Linked DNA regions of Alligator mississippiensis. The protein of the gene in region 1 binds, or shares a complex with, the protein of each later gene. Links are inferred from orthologs where the notes say so. Each region holds a gene or a part of one and is shown on either strand. Other genes may lie near its edges. The genes, in order: NRP1 and PLXNA4.

What was found.
Region 2: the proteins of NRP1 (region 1) and PLXNA4 are in contact, whole or in part, in a cryo-EM structure (PDB 7M0R), measured with the Mus musculus proteins. The link is inferred for Alligator mississippiensis from reciprocal best matches to the Homo sapiens genes NRP1 and PLXNA4. Residues at the interface, in NP_032763.2 of Mus musculus: Arg80, Tyr84, Asp126, Tyr127, Glu128; in NP_786926.2 of Mus musculus: Glu272, Lys340, Lys343, Lys345, Leu349.

Annotation. Positions count from the first base shown.
Region 1 is NC_081828.1:193,671,964-193,680,147, forward strand, and holds the start of NRP1 (neuropilin-1), read right to left. Parts: upstream 3,126-8,184; 5' UTR 2,611-3,125; coding exon 2,538-2,610; intron 1-2,537. UniProt on the Homo sapiens protein: Cell-surface receptor involved in the development of the cardiovascular system, in angiogenesis, in the formation of certain neuronal circuits and in organogenesis outside the nervous system. Mediates the chemorepulsant activity of semaphorins.
Region 2 is NC_081827.1:7,788,100-7,796,011, reverse strand, and holds the start of PLXNA4 (plexin-A4), read right to left. Parts: upstream 3,172-7,912; 5' UTR 2,740-3,171; intron 1-2,739. UniProt on the Homo sapiens protein: Coreceptor for SEMA3A. Necessary for signaling by class 3 semaphorins and subsequent remodeling of the cytoskeleton. Plays a role in axon guidance in the developing nervous system. Class 3 semaphorins bind to a complex composed of a neuropilin and a plexin.

The DNA.
Region 1 (8,184 bases):
CAATTGATGGTAACATTGGCTCACAGGGGTTTCTTTTAGATTTAATTATCTCAGAGAAGTGTAATCTCATTAGGCAACAAGTTTTAAGTGGAAAGGGTCTAAAAAGATGCTGTCTGCCCCCCTGCACAGCTATTTGATAATAAGCCTGGCCTGTGTCATTGACCATCAGGGGTTGTCTTGTAGTCCCCTACTTTGCTCACAGCAGACCCTTCTTTTGTTTATCAGCCCATAAATCTAAGCAATTTGAAGTTATCAGTGCTCTTTAAATCCAGACTAACAGAGAACAAAGTGCATTTAGTGAAGCAGAAATCATTCAGTATTACTCCTTTAAGGAAGTTTGTTCATGCCTGGGGACCAGATCAAAGTAATGAAGCAGAACCGCTTTCTCCCCCCAAAAACAACAGCAACAAAAGGTTTATTCCTAAACAGTTGAAAAAGTTACCAGTCACCAGATGCAAGTATGAAATTTAGTCTTCTACATCTTGCTCCTTTGCAAACAATGAAATATGATAATGTTTTTTAGCAGACTAAATAGAGGAAAGTAATGCAAAGCTAAAAGGGCTTTGCCAAGTTGGTTGTTCCATTGTCCAGGATAGGCTTGCATTGTCACATTTCATTACTATGGATTTCCTACTGCGGATCTTCAGCCCAAAACACTTTTCCCCCATATACCGATATTTCATTTTCAGCAATAAGATATGGCAATAAACTATAGAAGAGAAGCAGGTATGCACTAATAAATAAGCCCATGTATCACTATTTCCCAATAATGGTATACACTGATTGTAACACTGTATCTAATAGATTCCCCGTGGAAGGAAAATGGCATTCCTTGCTCTCAGCATGAATTTATGAATGTACAGAATTTTATTACAGGAAAACCAGGTCAAATGGAAATGAAAGATGAAGTGTGCATCAAAAATGCATAAAGCTACACGCATTATAGAAATCATTTGCTATAAATTATAAGGGAAGGAAGTGATGGAGTCTATGTTTTGTTTTTTTTTTTCCCAAAGACCAGATATTCCTACCCATGCTATCAAAGACTGCATATTCCTACCCATTCCTAGGATGGCACTAGCTTATTATCTGTTTGCCTTTTGGCTTTGGAAACCATTTCCCCCCCATTGCCAAGAACAAAAGGTACTGCCCTAAATGTGCCACTAGTGATCTTTTTGCCTATGGTTCCAACAGACCCTTGCATTATTTTCAGCGTGTAGCAGACTTGGAAAGCAATCCTGCCTCATTAAATCCACTTCAGCTCTGTGCAAACAACATGGCAGAATCTGGCATCTGTTAAATGAGTGAAATAAAACAGTGCTGTTTCTAGTCACTTGACAGAGTCACTTCAGGAGATGTAGAGGTGCACTCACTACCACCAGTGCTCTTTAATCTGCGACTTCTGGGAAAGTGACAGTATAATAAGATAATGTGGTCTGTTAGACTCCCCGGCTCTGTGAAATCTCTCTGACACTTGATTAAGAAGAGCAGTTTCTAATGTCTTCGGGCCGTTTGGACTAAATAAGGTTAATGAATTAATTCAGCAGGCACTGGTACTGGATGAGGGTGGACAGGGCATTAGTAGGTCTGGAAAGTCACAGGCGAGGTTAACAGCCTTGGTGCCTTGATAGGGCTACTACATCATGTCTATGACTATACACAGGGAGCCTGCTCCTTAGCTCCAGCAACAGCCGCCGCCTTCCCTGTTCCTTCCTGAAGGAAGACTATTGCCAAAGCACACCCCACACATCCCCATCACCCGGTCCCATGCAGTCGGTACAGCCCCAGGATTTTCCCACGCTGGCCTCTAAGCCCGGCCCGAATAGGGAGCAGCGGGGTCCACCTACACAGTCTGCTTCAGACTGAAAAGGAGGGGCACTGCCCACTCCTCACCTCGGGACCCCACTGGAGCTCACTAATGCTGCCCCGCTTCAGACTGGCACAGGGCAGCTCGCTGCGGGAGGGCTCCAGCCCCGCAGCCTCCTCCAGCGCCCGGGGAAGAGCAAGGGGGAGTCCACTCCCTCCCTGTGCCAGCCACGCCACTTGTGGTCTCTGTTATTGAAACCATATCCCACTGTAAGCCTCTTCCTTTAATCACTTGGATTCAAAACCCAGTCAGGCCAAAGTAAATATTTGATCATTAGTTCATGGGAATGGCTCAGGGTTTACTGGGAGAGGAAGAACTGAGGCGAGCTCTTTCCTGTCAAACAGTCCCTAGCCTGCTCCAGCCCGGCTGCGCCGCGGGGCCGCTCGGGAGGCTCGGCGCTGCGTGTCCAAGTGTCGCCTGAAAGTAAAGTCTCTGCCAAAGTCCTTGTCAGGGGATCCCCGCCCGGCCGGACCCTCCGCTGTCCCCTGCCCGCTCCGGCGCGGGGAGCCGCGGGCTGCCGGTGCGGAGGCGTGAGGGCGGCGCGGGCGCGGGCGCGGGGCAGGGATCGCCGACACCTGCGGGGCCCCGAGCGCGGCGCTGCCCAGGGGCGGCCCCGCCGGCGGCGGTCGTGGCGCTCGCTCGCTCCCAGCTGCCCGGCCCCGCCACTTACCGCTCCGCAAAGCCCGGGCGAGGGCGAGGGCGAGGGCGAGCGCCGCGCAGTGCAGGAGGAGTCCCCAGGCCATCTTCCCTCGTGGGCAGGCAGCAAGCAGAGGGGAAGCACAAACCCCCGAGCCGAGCGCCCCCTCGGCACCCGGCTCGTCTCCGATCCCAAATCCTCCCGCGGGCGCGGGGGCAGAGGCGAGCTCCGCGGCGGCGGCGGCTCAGTCCCGGCGTCGCGGCTCGGGCGCCCGCACCCGCGGCTCAGCTCCCGGGCCCCGCGCTCGCTCCGCGCCCCGGCGGCGCTGCCCCGGCCATGCCCGGCCCGGCGGAGCCCGGATCCTGGCGGGGCGGGGGCGGGGGCGGGGGCAGGGGCGGGTGGCGAGCCTGCGGGGACACGAGGGAGTGGAGAGGCGATGAGGGGGGAGCCCTCGGGCGACCTCCTGCCTCGTGCGCCCTGCCCTGCGCCGTCCGGCTCGCGGCACCCGCTTCCCCGGCCGGGAGCTGCCGCTGCCGCTGCCGCTGCCCCACCAACCTGGCCGGGGCGGGCGGCTCAAGTGCGAAGCTCGCGGGCGGCTCCTTCCCGCAGCCTGCGAGCGGGAGCGCGACTCGCGGCAATAAGAGAGGCAGAGGAGCCGCCGCTTGCCGAGCCCCGGCCCCTCCCCCTGCCCGCCCTCCTCCTCCTCCTCCGCCGGCTCCTCCTCGCCCCCCGAGGTGCGGGCAGCCGGGCAGGATCAGCCCGGAGCCAGGGACGACCCGCCAGCCCGCGGCCGCCCCGGGGTGAGGGGCAGGCGGCAGCCGGGGCATGGCCGGGGCTCCCCCAGCGCCCCCTGCAGCGCCTGCGAGGAGACTCCCCCGCTCCTGCCCGCCGCCGCCCGCTGCCAGGGGCTCGCCTCCCCTCCCCGTCCCATCTTCGAAGTCTTCCTTCCCCAGCCTGGGTGTCTTCTCGCCCCTTACCACAACCTGTCCTGCCCCCTCCATGCCAGGGGGCCGCCTGTGTCTTCTGGGGCAGGGAATGCCCAGCACCAGATACTTGGCAAGCAGATCACTGCATCGCTCTGCCCCCAGCACCAGGGCACAGGCGCTGGCTGGCGAGCAGCGGGACAGGCTTGGGATTACAGGGGCCTTGGCATCTTTCTTTCCTTTCTGTCCGGCTGCCATCCCTGCTTTGCCCTACTGGCCTGCCTTGGAGACCTCCCCATTGGAGCCCTTTACGCAGGGCACATGCAGCTCCTGGATTCAACGGGACTGCCTTTATTGTGGGAGCTGTGGTAGGGGTAGAGAAAGGCCTCTAAGGGCTGAAAGGTGGATGGGTCTGCTCTAGGAAACAGCCTACAGCTGCATGGTCCTTCTTCCTCCCCGGTGCTGGGAAACAATTTGTTACTAGTGTACAGCAGGGCCAAGCACTGTTAAAACTTACCACCACCACCACAGCAACCAAAGCATATTAGGGAATTCGTTCCACAAAGAGATTTTTTTAGAGGATGCTGTGAGAAAATGATTTGACGCTATTGAGGCCAGGGTCATTTGCCTTGTGCAGTAGAACATAAATCCCTGTCCCCTGTAACTGTGGTTGAAATAATTTTCAGACACAGTTGTACAAGTCTGCAGTTGCATGCAACAAAGCTACAAACATGTTGTATCCCTGCTGAGAAATCACACTCAGCCTTAGACTCCTCCAAACTTGACTCAATCTCACCTCATTTCCATTATCCATTCTTTTGTCTTTCTGAGCAGATGGTCCTGTCCTTTAAAGAACTGACTATCTAGCTCATCACTATTTTATAGTATGCCCTCTATCATAATTGTTGTTCCTGAATGCCAGGCACAGGACCAGATAGTCTTCTTCTGTTTCCTGATTCCAGTCTCATCATATCCAAAGTTCAGCTGCAATTTGTTCTCCTAATCATAGCTGAATACCCACTTCTTCTCTTTCCTCCATCTCAACCCTTACCTATGCCTTCGAGCAGACTGGTTCCTGGCTCATCACGAGCTGGCTGCCAGCTGCTAGTCAGACGTCAATACAGTAAGTTTAGTCTCAGCCTTTTCTCATTTCCCTGTCTTCAGCCAGTCTCGGCACCCATCATATACCTCTTGATCGATTGTGATGTATATTTTATGGATGGCACATTAAGATCCACCGGATTTCCCCGCCTTTCTTAGTGATATTCCAGCAGCTTGGGGAGGGGGTCTGGGATGACTTTGCTCTGATTATTAAAGAACAGATGCTGAGTGGACACAGTGTAGCACACCCCTAAGATGGTGCTATCCCTAATATAACTGCTAGGCTGACACTTTTGGAGACACAATGTAGCTTTTTCAAGGAGGTGTATCTACTTTTTGAGTTAGTAAATTCCATATTTAAGGTTGTCTGTTTGAGTTTTTAATAACTTGTGTTTAAAACAGTCTCAGAGGCTGAGTATAGTCTTATTTTTACTTATTGAACAAACACCCAAAGAATAAGTGTATTAAAATGTTACACATCATCTGAAAATGATGGCTGTCTTCCTTTGGGACTAGTGTTGTTCTGTTGTGCATCTCTATGAAGTCACAGAGAGAATAAATCCATTCCCAAATGCATTATTCTAGGGTGCTCCAAACAAAAACCCATCTGTCTTTTGACTTTGTTTTCCTAACAGATACGCAAGTTCTTTTTTCATGTATTAAATGTATATTCAGCTTTAGAGTACTATTATTTTGTATATTTTAAAAGAAATGTAAATAATCAAAATTAAAATAAGTCATGTAAATACAGAGCAAATAGATTCACCATGTATGTGGAGGCAATATCCATGTACTATTTTGCAAAAAAAAGTGATGATTGCTGCTTTCACTACCTCACCTGTCTGGTGAGCACTAAATCCACATCCCAGGACTATTTACAACAATCTAAGGCAGGGCTGTCTTACATCTAAGGGGCTGGGGGCCACATAACCTGTGGCTCTTGGCCTCTCAGTCCCCAATCCCTGATTGCTGCACTGTGTACTTGCATGGTGCCCACTGCGGTACTGCACACCCACTTGGCAACTCCTTCCACAGCTGCAGTGCATCCTTAGGTCCCCAAATCACCCTGTACCACACTTCCCTGCCCCCTGGACTGGAGACAGGAAGGGGTGGGGGGCAAAGGTGCCAGAGACCCTGGCTGCTGTTGCATTTGGAGTGACAGAGGGAGTGGCAGACTGGCAGGAGCCTGGAGGGGGGGGAGGTTTGCAATGTAACCCCTTGAGAGCTGTATGTGGCCTGCAGGACACCAGTTGGATAGCTGTGTACTAAGATATAGAGAATCTATGGTTCCTTTTCCCTTATAGAGACGTGTGCACTAGGCTACAGATCCAATTTTGCTACCAGACAGCAGCAACCTCCTTTAAAGCAGGACTCCTTCCTTTCTTCAGAACTAAACTGAGATCTTGAGTTAGATTTCCTTTATATTATTCTGAGTGTGCATGATATTGTACTACAACTCAGCATACGAACATCCTTTTCTCTTATCATATGTCATCAATGTTTTTTCTGTTCATCTCTTTCTTGCAGACATCCATATGCACACTCTTCCATCCATGTATGAGCATCATCAAATATTGTTTGAAAGCACCTTGCCCCCAGTTTCCATTTATTTATTATCTGAACATGTTGAATCTTTAATCATCTAAAATATAAACTAGAATCAAATGAAATACTCAGAAGCCTGTGTTCTGCAATCCATTTCTCACATTTTGGTTATTGCATTTTATTGTACTGATCCTGCAAATGCTTTCATATGTGCTTAACTTTACATCTTTATATCAATAAAGTGATTTCCTAGTTGGGGCTGGCTGGGGTTATAACATCTGAATCTGAATCTACTTTGTGCCAAAGTTCATGGAGTGGTCACCTCTAGGCTTTTGGTTCAGATCCGTCTCTGCTTTGAAATTTGATTTAATGTTTATAATGCCTTATTGAAGATTGTCTCCACTTCCATTATAAACCTGCTTCTTGAGAAGTTTATAATTCAGCCATACCAAATATTTGCCCTTAGCTAAATCATGTAATATAAAACTTAAACTACCAAATGAAAAATATAGTTTGCCATTTAAACGACAGTAGAGAACAACTTTGAAGTTTACCTCTTTTCTGCACTCATGTAACTCAGAAGTAAATTTAATTAAAAAACGAAGTTTGGCAAGCAAATAATCATGAAGGTAGACATATTTATTTGGAGTTATTTTGAAAAAGAATAGAACAAATTAAAACCATCCAAGATATTAGCTTCTGACAAACAGAGATGTGCACTGTGACTTTATATCAAAGTAATTCCATTAGTTTTTATTGCAGATCTGGAAGCAAAGCTAATATGTGATAGTTTCTTTATCTGGTTCTAGTTCATGCTTTGTCTATTTGTAATCCTGTCTTCTCTGGCCATCCTGTTTCTCAGTTATCTGCTAAAGTAGTGTCTGTCCAAAATGGGGCTTTCATGTCATCTACTCTTCTGTTTCTTTGGATCCATCAACCACTTCCTCAAATCTCTTAGATGGCTTCCTGTCTTTTAGTGCCCTGAACTCAAGCTTCTTTCCCTTATCTTTAAGATCACGCATACGCTTGCCTTCCTCTACAGCTTTCTTTCCCCATATGTTTTCACCTCCTACAATGTACATCCTCCTACTCACTCTCACATACAATGGTTTTCTCTATCCTATAAGGTGTATTTCTACCCTGCCTTCTGCTGTCTCCAAAATGCAGCCACATATATCTGAAAGAGCCTGTTTCTCTTTCTTTTTTTCTTTTTTTTTTTTTTTGTACTGGAAGATCTTTTCCTCTTTCCTAGGCTTTGTTCTGTTCTATTCAGTTCCTTAAACTGTGCCCCTCATTGTGTTACCAGTAATCTCTCCTGGAATCTTTTCTACATCTACACAACCCTTTCCTTCCCCTTTTTCTCACTCAGCCATCTCTCTAAACCTTCCTTTTCCTGAACTATTGTTTGTGGCTTGACTTGCTGTTGTTTGTCTTTTCTGATTAGGCTGTAAAAAAAGGATATGTGAAGCATAATTTAATTTATGACACTATATTACCCTAACTGATATTTAATCATAAATTAGTAAGAAATAACAATACCTGGTAGACTAAAATGATTCTTAAGTAGTTATCACCAATTATCAAGGAAATAACACCTATAGATCTGTCTGAAGCTAAGGAGCTGATCACATTCCTATTGAGAGCAAGGATAAAACTTTCATTGGGTGTGTCTACACATGCATTTACACTGGCTTAAATTTACTGCACAGTAAGTTACTGCGCAGTAAGCGAGAAGAGACCAACATCTACATATGCAGGCTTCAAAGTTAGTCCCAAGACAGTCCACACAAAAAGTGTTACTGCGCAATAAGGTGTCTACACATGCATTACTGTGTAGTAACTAAACAGGCATAAATTTGATACCTGCATGATGTAGGTATCAAATTTATGGTCAAGTCAGCATAAGTCGCTGTATTTACTGCACAGTAGGCATGCATGTGTAAGGTGCACTCATACTGAGCAGTAATTTTGGTTACTGCACAGTAAATGTGCACTTGTAGATGCACCCACTGACTTCAAAGGAAGAGAAAGCATGCCCTAAATTGTGATAAAAGTTCCTTAGATAATAAGCTGGTTTTATCAATTTTAGCTTTTCACATTTGGTTAGAAAA
Region 2 (7,912 bases), on another chromosome or scaffold:
TTTGCCCACCTGTAAAATGGGAATAATGCTGCTTTCTCACTGCTCTAGAGAGCTTTGAGGTCTTTGGATGAGGAAACCCATCTTCTGCAGATTTCACTGTTTTTTCCACGCTCGAGCTCAAATGAGCTAATGTGCTTTAAACTCCTAACTGCGTGCTCATCAGCCAGCAGTCAGACAGCACTTAGCAAGTATAAGCTGCAGCCACATTCAGGCTTCCTTCGCAGACAGGGAGCCTCAGTCATACCGATGTTTGGAGGGGCTATTTAGTGCATCACTCATATTTGGAAGATGCCCCCAACTCCACATAAAGAAGGAACTGGAAATAGCCCTTTGCCCTGTTCTTCTTGCCCCGAGAAGCACCAGTCAGCCTGTGCTTCATCAATAATAGGCCCTACAAGGCATTATAATGACAACCACACCTACGACTACTCATGCAGGTCGAAGGGTGGACTGCTGAATAGGATTTTGGGCTGGGACATGGGAGGCCCACGTGTAGTTCCCAGCGCAGCCACAGACTCTAGGTGCCCTTGTAGCTCAGGTTGTATTAATCAAACGGTTGTAACACATCCCTACGTTTCAAGAACGTTGCGATGATAAAATCCATTCATAGCTGTGAGGCCCTCAGGTGCTATGGTAACAAAAGCCCTATTAGCACACACAAAAGTGATGCAAATTCTCTTCAAAATATCCATATACGACTCCAGTCTGCAAAGCTTGGTACCACTGACCCCAGAACCGAATAATACCCCGATGCCACGCAACACTGACATGCTAGCCCGGCGCTCGGAAACCTCCAGTGACAACACGAGCAGCAGATTGCTAAAGAGCTTTTCCATCTCCCTGCCAAGCAAGGCGTGGATTTGAAAGCAGCACTAACCCTAAACGCACCGCGCTACAACGCGCTTACAGCTTACTTGCATCCGCGGCTCTCAGGAAGCTGCAGGACCCCCGGGAAGGCACACGGTAGCGTGCCCATTTGAAGGCAAGGAAACTGGGGTGGAGGGGGAGAGACGTGGCTTGTTAAAGGAGTCCCACAAGAGAAATCCCGAGTCCTGGCTCAGTCATGAAGCTGGAAGACTCCTGGCACAGCCAAGACCATTGCAAGTGAAGGCCTCCACCTTAATTATGGACCATTACAAACAACCCATCATAACTCAGCAGCCAAAGTCCTCCTGGGAGTGTCTGCCTGGCTGCCTGCCTTGCCTCACCACTTGCAGAGCCCCTCATTGCCACGTCTGTGCAGCACCAAGCACAGCGTGAGCAGAGACCTGCGGGGAGCTTGGCACGTAGGAAAATAAAGGGAAATGTCAGCATTTCCTTTCCCCAGTGGCGAGGCTCGGTGCATCTCTGAGGATCTTCCCTAGCACTCACCCCTGACGTACCAGGGCACTGGGCTGCCTACATGGACCAGACTTAAAAATGGTCTTTGGCGCCTAGAAGACAGTTACAATCATGCAGCAAAAGCTTCCAAAAAGCACCGTGATTGATCCTCGGGAGGTATTTTAAAACGCCTGTCTTGGACATAAACACCACTTAAATCTCACAGCTGTCATTTATTTTGCATCCTATCGATTTCTCCGCCGGCCACAAATTTAAGGCAGGACTGAATGGCAGGCTCCGGCTAAAAGCTGCAGCCAGTTCTCCGAGGAAGGAGCTCACTAGACAAAGTTATTTAAAGGCATCCTCGTGTAGCAGGTATTCAGGCCAAGGAGGGGGGGGGAAACCCAACAAAAACCCATCAGTTTGGAAATTTTTTCCTTCCAACCCGAACGTGCGAGCAAAGCAGACACGGAGCACATCTGTTGCACCGTTTGAAGCCCCGCTCGGATGAAACACGCTCTACCTAAGGGCTCCCAAATTTTTTTTTATTTTTTTTTTTAAAGAACAGACAATTCAAATAATAACCTAAATGCTGCTCTGATCCCTGAAACCTCGAGGCTATGACTCAGGGAAAAGAGGGAAGGGGGGGGGGGGGTGGAAAAAAAACACCACCTAATCTCCCGCTGAGAGGCACACATTGTAATTAAAAGGCAGAAAAGGCAAAGACAAGCCACCCCATGCGCCGCTGGTCCTATCCATTCAAAGATTATTGGGTTGTTTTTTTTTATGAACGATACCCGAGTGAAACAGAGGGCAGATCCAAAAAGAAGGTAGCACGCTTGATGCCTTCCAAAATATTTGCGGAGACCCGATGCATGCTAAAATAAGGACTCGAGAGGAGGCGGCGGGGGGGACCGAGTCGCCTGTCACCCCCCACAAAACCCCCTTGGCCGGAGGGACGGCGAGCGGTGCCCACCCCTGCCCCGCTGGCGTGCCCCCGCGCCCCTCGGATACCTGCACGAACTTCCAGCGGCGACATCGCCTGCTCTTTGTGGCAGAGGGAAGCCATGAAAAGCAGGTGGATGACAACCAGGCGCTTTTTTGCAGGGGAATAAACCCAAGCGGCGCTGACTCCGGGGGGAAGTTTGGAAACAGGAGGGGGGACTCAATGAAAGGCAGCTAGCTGTCTTTCTTTAATTTGGGGGGGGTTTGAAAGGGAGGGATAAGGAGGGTCTTTCAAGCTGCAACTTCACACAACCCATGCAGAGGGGTTTCTCTGCATCCCCGCGCTCACCTGGCAGCCCGCGGAGGCTGCGGGGCACCCCCATCCCCAAGGGGCAGAAAGCAGTGAGGGGGGTTTTGGCTCCTCCATGCTACAAGGGGTGGAAAGTTTGGGAGCTGGGCAAGGCTGGGTCTTACCTGGCGGCGCCGGGCTGCGGCTGCCGCTTCCCCCGGGCGCTCAGCGCCGGCGCCGCATTGCCGCTGCGGCGGAGCCCGGCCCCGACCCCGGAGCCCGGGCGCGGGGGATGCTCACTCCGCCATGCCCGCAGCCCCGAGCCAAGTTGTGCGGGGCCGGAGCGGGGCTGCTGCTGCTGCTGCTGCTGCTGCTGCTGCTGCTGCCACCTCCTTCGCCTCGCCTCGCCTCGCCTCGCCTCGCCCGCCGCCGCCCGCGCACTGAAGCGCTGCCAAGTCTGCAACTCCCTCCCTGCGCCGCGGCGGCTCGGCTCGCTCGGCTCGGCTCGCTCGGCGCGGCGTGGCTCGCTGCTGACACCTAGGAGCGCCGCCTCCGCCGCGCCTCCCTCCTCTGCCGCCCCTGCCTCTGCCTCTGCCCCTGCCCCGCCGCGCCGGGATGGGATGGGACGGGACGGGACGGGGCGGGGAGGAGCCCCCGCGCGCTCCCTGCCGCCCGGCAAAGACACCACCTCGTCCCCACCGGGGAGCAGGGATGGGGGCTGAGCACAGACCGGCTGCAGCCTCCCCTGCTGCCAGGAGAGAGCTAAGGGCGGGGAGATCATCCTGCAATAGCCAGTGGGGAGAGCATGTTGATCTCTGCTGGGGAGCAGGGGTGGGTGCTGAGCCCGGAGGAGCCAAAGTCTCCCCAGGAGATAGCCAAGGGGGGGAGATCATCCTGCAAATAGCCAGGGGGAAGATCACCCTCATCTCTGCGGGGGAGCAGGGGTGGGTGCTGAGCCCGGAGAAACCTCCCCAGGAGATAGCTAAGGGGGGATCATCCTGCAATAGCCAGGGGGAGATCATGTTGATCTCTGTCGGGGAGCAGGGGTGGGTGCTGAGCCCGGAGGAGCCAAAGTCTCCCCAGGAGATAGCCAAGGGGGGGAGATCATCCTGCAAATAGCCAGGGGGAAGATCACCCTCATCTCTGCGGGGGAGCAGGGGTGGGTGCTGAGCCCGGAGAAGCCAAAGTCTCCCCAGGAGATAGCCAAGGGGGGGAGATCATCCTGCAATAGCCAGGGGGAGATCATGTTGATCTGTGCTGGGGAGCATGGGGGTGCTGAGCCCTGAGGGCAGGAGAGAAGGCACCGTCAGCCTCGTACCAGGGGGATGGGTGCTGAGCGCAGACAAGCTGCAGCCTCCCCTGCCACCCAGGAAATAGCCAGGGTGGAGATCATGTTGATCTCTGCGGTGGATCATGGGTGGGTGCTGAGCCCAGACAGGCTGCAGCCTCCCCTGCTTTCCAGTACATAACCAGGGTAGAGATCATCTTGATCTCTGCCAGGGCTCATGGATGGGTGCTGAGCCAAGACAAGCCAAAGCCTCCCCTGCTGCCCAGGAAATAGCCAGGGTGGAGATCATCCTGACCTCCATCTCAGCTCGTGCGTGGGTGCGGAGCCGAGACAAGCTGCAGCCTCCTCTGCTGCCTAGAAAATAGCCAAGGTAGAGATCATCCTGATCTCCACCTCGGATCATGGGTGGGAGCTGAGCCCAGATAAGCTGCAGCCTCCCTTGCTTCCCAGGAAACAGCCAGGGTAGAAGTCATCTTGATCCCTGCCATGCATGGGTGCTGAGCCCTGAGCCCAGACAAGCTGAAACCTCCCCTGCTGCCCAGCACGTATCAGCCTCAACCATCCCTCTATTCAAGGATGATCTCCATCCCGGCTCACAAAGCATCCCCAGCAAATAGCCGGGGCAGAGGACCCTCTGCCACAGCTCGTGGATGGGTCCTCAGCCCTGACAGGCTGCAGTCTCCCCAGCACATGTCCTCCTCACCCGTCCCTCCGTTCAAATATGATTTCTACCAGGGCTCACAGGTGGGCCCTGAGGTGACTCAAGTCCAATCCTCGAGCCACAAACCTGTCCGCACAAGTGCGTCTTTCCTCCAGGGAAAGGAGGCTGCAGGCTGACAGCCCTCTGCTTTTCCTTCCTCTGTCTCCCCCCTTCTTCCCAGCAAATATCCTTATCCTCAGCAATCCCTCCATTCATCTCTACCACGGCTCATTCGTGGGTCTTGCGGTGACTTAAAGCATCCAATTCTCAAGCCACACGCTGGTCCGCGCAAGTTGCAGGTCTGTCTGCCAGGAAGAGGAGGCTGCAGGCTGGGATTTCTCTCCTACCCCCTCCCCCAGGTCCTGCTTGCCAGCCTCGGAAACCCCCTGTCCCCCACGCCACCCCCTGACCTGCTCCAGTTGGGCCCTCCTCAAAGGTGGAGGAGCAGTGCAATGCCCAGGGTGGGAGGAAAGCCTTGCTGCTGGGATGTGCAAATCAGCTCAAGCCAGGGGGCTGCAGCTCAGCTCCTTACCAAAAAAAGCCATGTAGCCTAAATGCTCAGGTGATGGGCATTTACAGAGCAGGCTGGAAGGGATCCCAAGGGTCCTCTAGGCCAGCTCCCTACCGGAAAGGCCCAGGAGAGGGAGAGGAAAGAGAAAGGTCAGGGCCAAGGGCTCTGGTGCTGGATCCATTATGGTTGGGAAATAGTTTGGGTCCAATCCTACAGCTGCCTCTGTGCAGGGCTGTGTGCACACAGCACCCAGCAGGCCCTTCCTCCAAGCAGGACCACGATCCCAGGACAGCCAGCCTGCACGCGCTGCGGCGGCAGGGACTCACCCTGACTTTGCACAGCACCCAGGCTCTGCTTTGTGGCCAAGGCCTCCCCAACACTAATACATATGAATATTTCAAAGCACTATGTTCTTATTTCCCTTTCATGTGCATGCAGCAAAACACCGGGGTGAAATCTATTTCCATCCCCTTCTGCCCCGATGCATTTATTTTTAAACAGTATTGTGTATTCCTCAAAACAAGTTTGATCTCTCCTTCTCCCCACCTGTGTGTATGTACATGTGTACATGGACTGAGCTCTGGTTTACATTTCCTGATGGATAAATGTGGATTCAAAGCCCACCCTCCAACCCCCCTCCTTTTAAGGTGGCGCATAAAATGTATTTATTAGGCTTTATCTCCTGCCTCTTGCAAGGAGTCATTTGTTTTCATTCAGAGAAATGAATGCCATGCAAAACCTGAAGAGTAATAACAGCACAAAATGACAAGGGAAGAGCGAGACAGAAATCCGAAAGATACAATGGCAGGTGAATAACCTCGGCAGATCGCTGCCGCCGTGAGCGGTACGGTATTATTTAATGTCCATTCTGACATGCGCTTGGATATCATAATGCACGTGAAAATCCCTGGGAAATTTGGCTCAGCATTTACAACTCGGCCGTCCTTAGAAGAGATGATCTGGGTTTAGTCCTGTTCCTTTCTATTAGCTGGGGAGGAGGAAGAATTAATTAATAGGAATTCCTCTTCGTTCTTAAAAAACAATGGCTGGAGTCAACGCATCCCTCAGCTCTCTGGAGTCCAGAAAAGAATGAGTGACAAATGAGACTTTATTTATAGGCCCTTTCATGCACTCGGCAGTGGGGGGAGGAGAGGGGTCAGGACTGGATAACCCACGCGGCCTCCTCTGACCCGAGGAATGCTTGCAGAAAAAGAGCCCGAGGGTATGCGGGGTCCGGATCCGCAGAGTCAAAATCAATGGGATTATTTTTGCCGTCCACTATGGCGTGAGCAGGATTGTCCCCAGCCTGCTGACTGCAAAGAGAACGGGCCTTATCCTGAGCATCGCTGAGGGCCCGTGCTTTGCCGCCGATGGTGAGAGCTCAGCGCTGATCAGGATCGAGGCCTGACTTTACATTAGTGTGGACTGAGTCTGGCAGGGGAGAGCTGTTTCCGTGCTGTCTACCTGCAGTGCCTGATTCCCCCCTGCTGTCCAAAACATCCTGTTTAGCCTCCCATGGCTAATAATGTCCTAGATTTTGATACAGTCGCTGCGCTCCCCATTTAAACTCTCGGAGATTTCTTCCCCGATGGCGACTCGGTAGATAGCTACCGGCACACGCAGCCTTTCATTTTGTGCCTTGTTATCTAGCCACATACAGGGATCATTTATGACAACACCGAAGGTTTCTGATCAGAAAAATATATTTCTTCCTAGGGTATTTTTTAACTTGACTGTCCCTAATTATGCAACAGAGAAGCCAAAATTAAAAAGGTAAAAAGAAAGAGGACGACTCCAACAAGTCTCCCTCCTTCCCCCACCATTTAACAGGTCTGTAAACCAACCAGTTCTTTAAGTTGATAGAAGCCAGAGATGCTTGTTAACTAAGTCAGCTGGCGCAGCTTTCCGATTTGGTCTGCGTTTCTGCAAATCTGAGCAACTGGCGGTTAAAAACCTAAATTGTGGTGCCACCTGCAGGCCGCCAGAAATTTCAGCAGCTCTGGAAATCACTTAATCCAAGATAAGGAGTGTTAAAAAAACAAAAACCCTGTGGGATGGGGCTGGGGTCTCTGCTGATGTGCGCCACAGTGTGCAATTGTGCAGAGATGCACTCCCGGGTGTGCAGGTGCCCGGGATAATGCCACTTCTAAGCTCCCCGAGGGCCCTCATTTCACCTTGCATCTCGCAATGGTGCCCCAGGCCCAGGTTATCCTAGCATGGCACACCTCTCGTTGCTCACACGTCCTGTAGGAGCACCTTCAATCAAAAGCTGTTAAGTTAATTTAATTTTCCAAATGCTAAATGCCACAATGATATAGTAATAGCTGGGGCTGCTGAAGGAGCTCTGCTCAGCTCTTCGATTTCCTGGATCAAAATCCTGATGTCCCCCCCTCCCCTTTCTCTTTCTGATGTTAGAAGCTTAAACAACTTTCCTAGCTTTGCTGACATCCAGAGACAAAAAAATCGGCCTCCCCTTCCCAGTTGTCACCGTCTCTGTTTCTGACAAAGAATGTCTTTATCGTGCTATCAGAGTGTAAAAATTTCATTACAATCTGTTTTAAAGCTGGTCCAGTGCTTTGCATTGTCATTCCTTGCACTCCTGGGAGGAATGGAGTCAATCTATTGCTTTTGGGATTGGCCGACACAGGGGAAGACTGAGCAGATTGCACAGATTATATGCCCCGGTTGGTGCCAAAGAAAAAGAAGTGGGAAAATGGAAAGGGAGGGTCTTGTCTCTGAGTCTTTGGCTTGAGACATACAACACCCACCTGGACAGACCCCTGGAAAATTTAGTGTTGAGGACAGTCCGGCATTAACCCAGGGGCAGCAGAGAGATGTTCTGATAGCTGTTTCCATCTC